Linked DNA regions of Coturnix japonica. The main gene of each other region encodes a partner of the protein of the gene in region 2 in a complex. Links are inferred from orthologs where the notes say so. Each region holds a gene or a part of one and is shown on either strand. Other genes may lie near its edges. The genes, in order: SH3BP2 and TNKS2.

Evidence for each region.
Region 1: the proteins of TNKS2 (region 2) and SH3BP2 are in contact, whole or in part, in a crystal structure (PDB 3TWR), measured with the Homo sapiens proteins. The link is inferred for Coturnix japonica from reciprocal best matches to the Homo sapiens genes TNKS2 and SH3BP2. Residues at the interface, in NP_079511.1 of Homo sapiens: Arg525, Ser527, His531, Phe532, Gly535, Tyr536, Asn537, Arg538, Leu560, Asn565, Ser568, Tyr569, His571, Asp589, Trp591, Phe593, Glu598, Lys604; in NP_001116153.1 of Homo sapiens: Leu413, Gln414, Arg415, Ser416, Pro417, Pro418, Asp419, Gly420, Gln421, Ser422, Arg424.

The regions. Positions count from the first base shown.
Region 1 is NC_029519.1:74,760,370-74,763,851, reverse strand, and holds part of SH3BP2 (SH3 domain-binding protein 2), read left to right. Parts: intron 1-80; coding exon 81-146; intron 147-453; coding exon 454-1,045; intron 1,046-1,808; coding exon 1,809-1,917; intron 1,918-2,258; coding exon 2,259-2,314; intron 2,315-2,983; coding exon 2,984-3,065; intron 3,066-3,306; coding exon 3,307-3,366; intron 3,367-3,482. UniProt on the Homo sapiens protein: Binds differentially to the SH3 domains of certain proteins of signal transduction pathways. Binds to phosphatidylinositols; linking the hemopoietic tyrosine kinase fes to the cytoplasmic membrane in a phosphorylation dependent mechanism.
Region 2 is NC_029521.1:17,299,729-17,304,277, forward strand, and holds the start of TNKS2 (poly [ADP-ribose] polymerase tankyrase-2), read left to right. Parts: upstream 1-1,730; 5' UTR 1,731-1,941; coding exon 1,942-2,143; intron 2,144-4,549. UniProt on the Homo sapiens protein: Poly-ADP-ribosyltransferase involved in various processes such as Wnt signaling pathway, telomere length and vesicle trafficking.

The DNA.
Region 1 (3,482 bases), on a different chromosome or scaffold from region 2:
TGTCAAAATGTAAGAAAATGCACGCTGTGAATAGCAGAGAGGTGGTTGTCTGAGACTGACACGTGGATTTTTACTTGCAGATTATGACCAGGAGGAAGATGATGAGTCCTACTTGCAACCAGATACTTCTGACATAGTGAAAGATGGTATGTGATTGCCTCTATTCCCTCCAGAAAATGCTGGCAATTAAGATCAGTTTGTGTAGGATGTCAGATCGCTGTTTCTTAGTCATACCTTAAGCACTTCAGGTGACAAATTAACCAATGAAAGGCATAGGTATCAAATCTTGAGAGGCATTTAGGGTGAAAAGAGCCTAGTAACAGCAGTAACAGTTTCTGGAGGGTCTGCTGCCCTGAAGGACCTGCATGTGGTCACCAGTCTGGAGGAGGGGGTAATGCTTTTTCAGTAGTCTTTTTCCCTTTATTTCCAACATTGGGTATTTTCTTTGTGCAGATATGGTCCTGCCCCCAGCCTACCCACCACCACCGGTCCCTCATGTCCGAAAAGCTGCCTACTCAGAGTCAAGGTCACATTCCTTTAGTGGAAAAACTGCTGGGTCAGCACCACCACCACCACCTCCAAAAAGGAGCTTACCTGAGATCAAGTCAGATGATTTCTTCGGTGTGAGAGAGCCCCAGTTACAATGCCGAGCTGAACCTAACCTAAAGATTCAGTCTTCCAGCCGAAGACCAAGTGAACAGCCACCTCCTGTACCCCCATTACCTCTTTTCAAGAAGCCTTTTTGTGTCAAAGAACCTTCCTCACTGCCTCCGGAACCTCTCCCTCTATCTCACGTTCTCACTACTCCAGAAGGATGCGAGAAGCTAAAATCCTTAAACCTTTCACCACGGACTCCTCCTCCACTGCCGAGCAATAAACCCAAGTTGTCCCAGATAACTGAAAAAACAGTAGAAACCAAAGTGCCAAGAGAACATGGGAAACCGGGACTGTTTGTGCCACCAGTGCTTCCAAAGCCACCCGTGCCAGGCCACCAGCATCCTGTACCTAAACCTAGACCAGAGAAGCCTCCGTGTCCCCAGTTACAGTAAGTGTGAAAATACGTCCCAGTATCAAATAAACCTTTATGTCAGAAAGTCAGTGAACCTCAAAAAATGATTTTAGACCTCTATGGAGACAGGAAATGGTTAAGATCAGCTTTATGAAGGGAGGTGCAACTAGCTGTGCTGTTTAGGCAGCTGGAAATGTTTTTGTCTGCTGGATTGTGCAGCTTTAGAGAAGGAATGAAAAACTCTTTAAATGCCGTACAAGGAAGAGAGATTGATTGATTCATGGAAGTGAGTCCATCCACCAAGATGTTCGGGCACATGATACGTGAGGAGAGGCTGAGAGATTTGGGTTAGTTCAGCCTTTAGGAAGGCTAATGGAAGATGTCACTGCACTCTATTGGGAAGGCTAGTTGAAGGTGTTACTGCTGTCTACAGCTACTCATTGGCAAGGCAGGGAGATTACAGAACAAAAGATCTGCAGTGATAGGGCAAGAGGCAACAGACAGAATTCGTGACCTTGGAAATTACAGTTAGTTATAAGTTGTAATTTCACCTTGTGGATGATCAACTCAGAGAGGCTGTGGAATCTCCGTCCTTGGTGATACTCAACCAGACACAGCTGCCTGGGCTGTTTGGACCTGCTGTGTGCAGGAGCTTGGGCTAAATCATCTACAGCTGTCCCTTTCAAGCTACATTGTTCTGTGATTCTTGATGTTCCAGTTTTATTACCGTTTCAGTGCTTGGTATATTTGTTCTGTTTTCATTGGAGATATCCTTCAGTTTTTGTTCTGTTTCTGCCAGGAGATCACCACCAGATGGGCAGAGTTTTAGAAGCTTCTCATTTGAAAAACCAGCGCTGCCCTCCAAGCCAAATCAAGTGAATGATGATTCTGATGATGACTATGAAAAAGTAAGAGCAAACAGATGATATATATTTTTTAAAAGACCATTTTTCCTGCTTTCTCTATAGGAGAGCTCTGGGACATGATTGGGGGTGAGAGGGGAGAAGGGGGTGGGGGGGAAAAGAACCTTCTGAAAATGCAGCTCTTTGTGATTTGTAGATTTAAGGAATGCCTTTATTAATTCTGGATTGTAGTCATTGGTATACAGGAGGAAGAAATGTCAAGTTCAGATTAAAACATTATTAACAAATTCAGATATCAGCAGCTGTAGCTTGTTTGGATACCATGTTAGTATTTTGTGTTTTCATTGTCCTTCATGGTCACTTAATTTCTTTGTATTTTTCTACAGGTTGAGTTGCCTACTTCAATATTTCTTAATACCTCTGAATCCTTAGAAGTTGAAAGGTAGATGTGGCTTTCAAGTTACTTAAAATCCTATAAGTATCTGTGTTGAACAGTAGTTTAAAATCATTTTGAGATATATAATTTGTGTTTAAAAACATGGTGATATATTTGAATCACTCTGCTTTCCAGCAGAGATAGTTCAGTGCTTGTGTATCAGTTGAGAAAACATAGTACTTATAAAATGATCCTACCCCCTCTGGAAATTATTGTTCTGCCAGGATGCTAAGGGGACAGATCTTCTGTGACACATCACTGATTGATATGCTAGAACAGTAAAATTCTGTCTAATATGATGTAATATAAATTATTACAACTGAAACAGATTTGTAACGAAGAATTGGCAGCAGTGTGCCCTTGTGGCTAAAAAGGGTAGTGTTATCCTGGGGTGCATTAAGAGGAGCGTGGCCAGCGGGTTGAGGGAGGTGATGGTCTGCTCCTACTCTGCCCTGCTGAGTCCACATCTGGAGTGCTGTGTCCAGTTCTGGGCTCCCCAGTTGAAGAAGATGCTTTCCTGTGCAACCTACTTTAGTAAGGTGGGGGTGACTGGACTAGATGATCTCCAGTGGTCCCTTCCTGCTCCTATAATTCTGTGATTACAAGAAGCTACATGTTAATGTTTCCTGGATCAGATAAGTAACATATGTCAATATTGCACTGTTTTTATTTTAGGATATTTAAAGCTACTAGCCCAAAGGGACAGCCACAGAATGGATTATACTGCATTAGGAACTCATCTACTAAGGCTGGAAAGGTAACTTGCAATTGCAGAATCTACCCCTACAAAAACCTTCAGGATTTAGTGATGCTGTATTTTTACATGTTAAAAGTACTTAGATCTTCTTGCTTATTGTTAAGTACTGAAACAATTGCTATTATATCTTCAGTGATTTTTTTAATAGGCCAGTCAGCTGGTTGTAAATAATTCCTTAATTATACACTGACTTCGAGTTTATTAGTGTAAACTGATTTTTGTTGCACTTTTCGTTGTTAAGGTATTAGTTGTATGGGATCAATCTGCAGAAAAAGTGAGAAACTACAGAATATTTGAAAAGGTGAGTGGCTCTCCTGTATATGAAGCTTTTGTATATGTTTACATCTGTATGATATTGTGTATACATATAATGTGCAGGTATATGCGTATGTATCACAGTTAACAAGTCAAACTTAC
Region 2 (4,549 bases):
GGGTAAAACGAAGAGCAGTTCTCAGAAGTATGCTTTGTGATTTCTGGCTTGCTCATAGACTGCCTGCTCGTTCCAAATGGGATGATGTGACAAATCAATACTTAGGATCTCTGAGAGGTACTCTGCCACGAGTTTCCCCAGCAGAAGACAGGCTCAGGGGGACCTGGCAATGCCCATTCCCCACCTGCACCACCTTGGGGGCTGCCTGAGGTCCACTGGGCCTGACCCACACCACCTCTCTGAACCCCATGATCTGAAGAGGAAAGGCAATGCGGTGCTTCAGGAAGTAACCTAAATTCTAGGTCTAAGCATGAAGGTGCTCTTTTGTTATTTATTCTGTGTTTCTCCAGTATTTTCAGCCCTGTTCGTCTAGCTGGTGTTAAAGGACACAAATCACAGCACTGCAGAGGAGCCATTGGGAAGCTCTGAGATGGTTTCAGGCCCACACACCATATCTGTGACAGTTTGTGCCAGAGCGTTATGGCCGCACGTGTAGCAGCAGATGAATTATGTGTGTGACAAGCTGAGGAGGAACAGTAGCCATGGCCTGACATTTTCCTGCCTACTGAGCACAGCTTGCATGGGGAAGAAAGCCAATGGAATGACACGAGGCTGTTTGTCACAGTGTGTGCTTGCTGTCTCTGTGCTGGCTGCATCCTCTGGTCACAGTTCTGTTGGCTGCGTGCCTATTTCTGGGTTAAATGACACAGCCAGGGGCACTGGACCTTGACCTGTTCCTGCAGCACAGTTGTGGCCTGGGCAGCTGGTACTCTCCCCATAAAAAATCCTAGGTGCAATTTAGACCTTAGCAGGGACAGGCAGTTTGGGCTTAGCTACCTTATTGCAGAGTGGAGTGGTGTTTAACAGAATGGAAGTGACTGAATGGCACAGATTAGCAGCTAGATCCCTTTCCTGGCTCTCGGGCAGTCTAATTTACTGCTGTAACAATAGCCTGCAAGTTCAGTGAGTTTGGAGGCATTTATCCTTCCTGCCTGTGGAACAGGAAGCTCCTGGCCCCTATCAACTACCTTTTCCAAAGTGTTTTTGAAAGATTATAGCACGAGTGGAAAAATACATTTCAAAATTACCAAATTAATCCTATTCTAGTTAGTCCCATCTAAGCTCAGACTTCCCCATCAGGCTTGTTAGGATTAAAAGAAAAAGATTCTCTCCATTCTTCTTCAAATCCTTGAACTGGCAGTCATAGAATCACAGTAATATAATATAATCATATAATTTAATCATATAATAGCTTGAATTGGAAATGACCTCAAAACCCTCGCAGCTCTAACCCCTGCTGTGGGCTGGGTCAGGGCCCCATCCAGCCCATTGCTGGGGCACACACAGCTCGCTGGGCAGCAGTGCCAGGGCCTCACTCCCTCCCTCTTTTTTTTCAGGATAAAGCAAACAGTTTAATTTCTATCATTCCCATTTCCTAAGTATGCAAACACGTATTTTTGAGTAACATGTTTTGATATGTAAATAACTACTTTAGGATTTTTTATTTTAATTGCATCAGGAAGTTCTTAGCACCAGAATGCTTAACGTTTCTGGGGAGGGGGAAAAAAAAAGTCCTTTATTAGCACATCCTAATGGATAATTCATTAAGTAGCACGGGATCGCTTCTACAGCTGTGGAACCACAGACCACCCTCATCCCGCAGCAGCAGCCCGGCCCCGCGGCTCCGCTCCGCCTCCCGACCCCACGTGTGCCGCATGCGCGCCGTGTCCGGCCGACCCCTTCCTGGCTGCATCGAGGCAGCTGCTGGCTGCGGTATCGCGGCCGTTCCGCCTGGATCCCTCCGCCGCGATGCGCCGGGCCCAGCGCCCTGCACAGCGCCCTGCACAGCGGAGCGAGTCCGGGGCTGCCGCCGCGCGGGGCCGCGGGCTGTGAGCGGGTCAGCGAGGGCCGCTCGGCCGGCTCCGTGGGGCTCGGCCCGGCATGGCGGCGCGGCGGTGCGCGGGCGGCGCGGCCGCCTTGGCCGAGGCTCCGGGCTGCGGCGCGGCGGTGGAGCCCGCCCGGGAGCTGTTCGAGGCCTGCAGGAACGGGGACGTGGAGCGGGTCAAGCGGCTGGTGCGGCCCGAGAACGTGAACAGCCGCGACACGGCGGGCAGGAAGTCCAGCCCGCTGCACTTCGCCGCAGGTACGGCCTACGGCCGCGCTGCCGAGTCTGCGGCGCCGGGGGAGGGCCGAGGGTGGCCGGGCCGCGCATCGCCGCCTCCCCGAAGCGCCGAGCACGTTCGGGCCGGGCGGTGGGGCGGCCTAAGGCCGTAGTCGCTGCTGTGGGGGCGAGGCCTTGTCCCCGCTGTCCGGCTGCCGGGCTCGGTGGGGCCGGAGGCCTCTCGCGTTTCACGAGTAAATGAAACGGCCCGGCCGTGGGGCTGCAGCACCGAGTGATGGCTCTGCAGCACCGAGTGATGGCTCTGCAGCACCGAGTGATGGCTCTGCAGCGGCCTGTGGGCTCGGTCAGCTCCGAGTGTCCCCGTAGTGCTCCTAGTCCCTCTGCAGCCCAGCTCGCTGAGCCTTTCTCCCACGGATGGTGCCCGACCGACAGCACGGTTCCGAAGTTGTTTTTTTTTTTTGCATTTGTGTCGTTAACAAATAGACTTTGTTAATTTGGCACTTAGGCAAATAGCTGACATCACAGAACAACTGCTGTCTCTGGTGGCTGGCCGGAAGACTGTATACCACCTTTTCAGACAAAGACACGATTGTGGCTGTTGTTTTCGTGTTGTTTCTCTGGTTGGATTGCAGCCTTAGCGGCAGGGCCCTGGGGTAGGCAAGGGGCAGCAGCTTTCAGCTAGAAAGTGCGTATAACTAATAACGAAGTTTGTTCCCCCAGTGAATTATTTTAGAAGAGGTTTCTAATTAATATGTCATTTTCTCTCATTCAGTAGCTTTAATGGATTTGAGTTCCTGAGAGCTACTTTTTCAGGACAGCTGTGATTTGCAGATTTAGGAAACTCGATCAGCAGGAAAGCCCAGGGGACAACATAAAGCATCCTGTCAGAGGAAGGGAGTTTTGCAGCTATTTTTTCATAAACCCCAGCCCTGCCTCATAGCTCATAAACTTCTAAATAAATGAGACTGTTTAACAGCATTTTGTAGATGTGGGTTGTTAGGTTGCTTGTTGGTTGGTTTTTATTGCTTATTTTTGTTTTGTGCCTGAGGGCATAGGCAGTGACCTAGTTTGCCTCTCTGGACAGGGCTGATCTGTCTTGGCTTTATAAACCAGAACTTCTAACTTACTGAAAACTTCTTTTTTTTTCATTAAATAGGCAAAGAAAGGCAAAAGTGTGAGTAAGTGCTTTTGTCCTTGCTTCTATCCCTTTCAATCTGAATGCAGAGAATTTAAATGTGTTTCTCATAGGACTGTAGGATGTACAAAAAGTTTCTGGCTAAGGCAGGATGTAAAATGCACGTGTAATGTCTTGATGCAATGCGCTTCCACTGCTTCAGATGGGCTGACAGCAAAAAGGGCTCTACCTGCAGTAGGCTCAGCTTGCAAGTTGGCCATAAGCAGCTCCTTGGGTTGGAGGTTAGGAATATTTTTGTTTGTTTTGCTTTTTCCATGTTATTTTCAGTTTGAGTAATACCAGCTTCTTTTGTCTCTGTTGCCTGAAGGAATTACATTCCAGGAAGCAAAAGCAAAAGTCTTGTATTCTGGCTTTGTTTAGCCCAGGTTCATGTTCTTAGAAAAAATGTTACAAAACTTCTCTGACTAGTTTCATTCACTTACGAGGCTTTGTTTTGTGAAGAGGTGGCGCTGAAACATGAAGATCGTTTTTGTGTTGCCATTTTTCTCTTTCAGGGACACTCTGGGTCCTGAACCCGGTTCCTTTTTCTTTTCCTTTAAATATCAATGTAACAGAAAAAGGAAACAAACTAACGCAAATGCTCTTTTTTTTTTTTTTTTTTTTCTTTTCTCTCTGTGTCCTGAGTAGTAGCTCTGCTGCTTTGCAGTAAGAAATGAAGTGTGCTGGTGGGACCAGCTATCTTGCATTGCTTTGAGCTGCAATAATATTTAGTTGGTCTTCTGATGGAAACTTGAGAGCTAAAAAGAAAAGCTTTAGAATAGATGAATATTGAAGCCATTCTTGCAGCAGTGGGCTACTAGCAAAGGGGGAGTCACTGCGGAGTGTGTGCCAGTAAGGGCTGTGTTCCTTGAGCATGCAATAGGAATAAGAAAGGTGATTGCACAGAGCCTGACCCCCTCCTCTGCACACGTACTCCCATAGGAAATGCTTCAGTATGCTGTGCCTTCTGGTAGGGATGCTCCCACAAGGCTGTGGGGAGCCCCTGCAGCACACTTTGTGCTGAAACCAAGTTCCAGAAGCTGGTCTGATGCAGATGATCCTCTGTCTCCACTCTACCATAACGGTGGGTGGTTTGGGGGTGTTGTTATCCCCCCAGTAGGGGCGTATTTCCCAGCTGGGCTGGCTTTGCCCTGAGAGAAGCTGATGTAGGAACTGTGTTTGATTGAACCCACATACTGACTGGAGGGCCACAGAGTGAATTCTCTACACCTATAGTGAGGCTTGCCACAGCT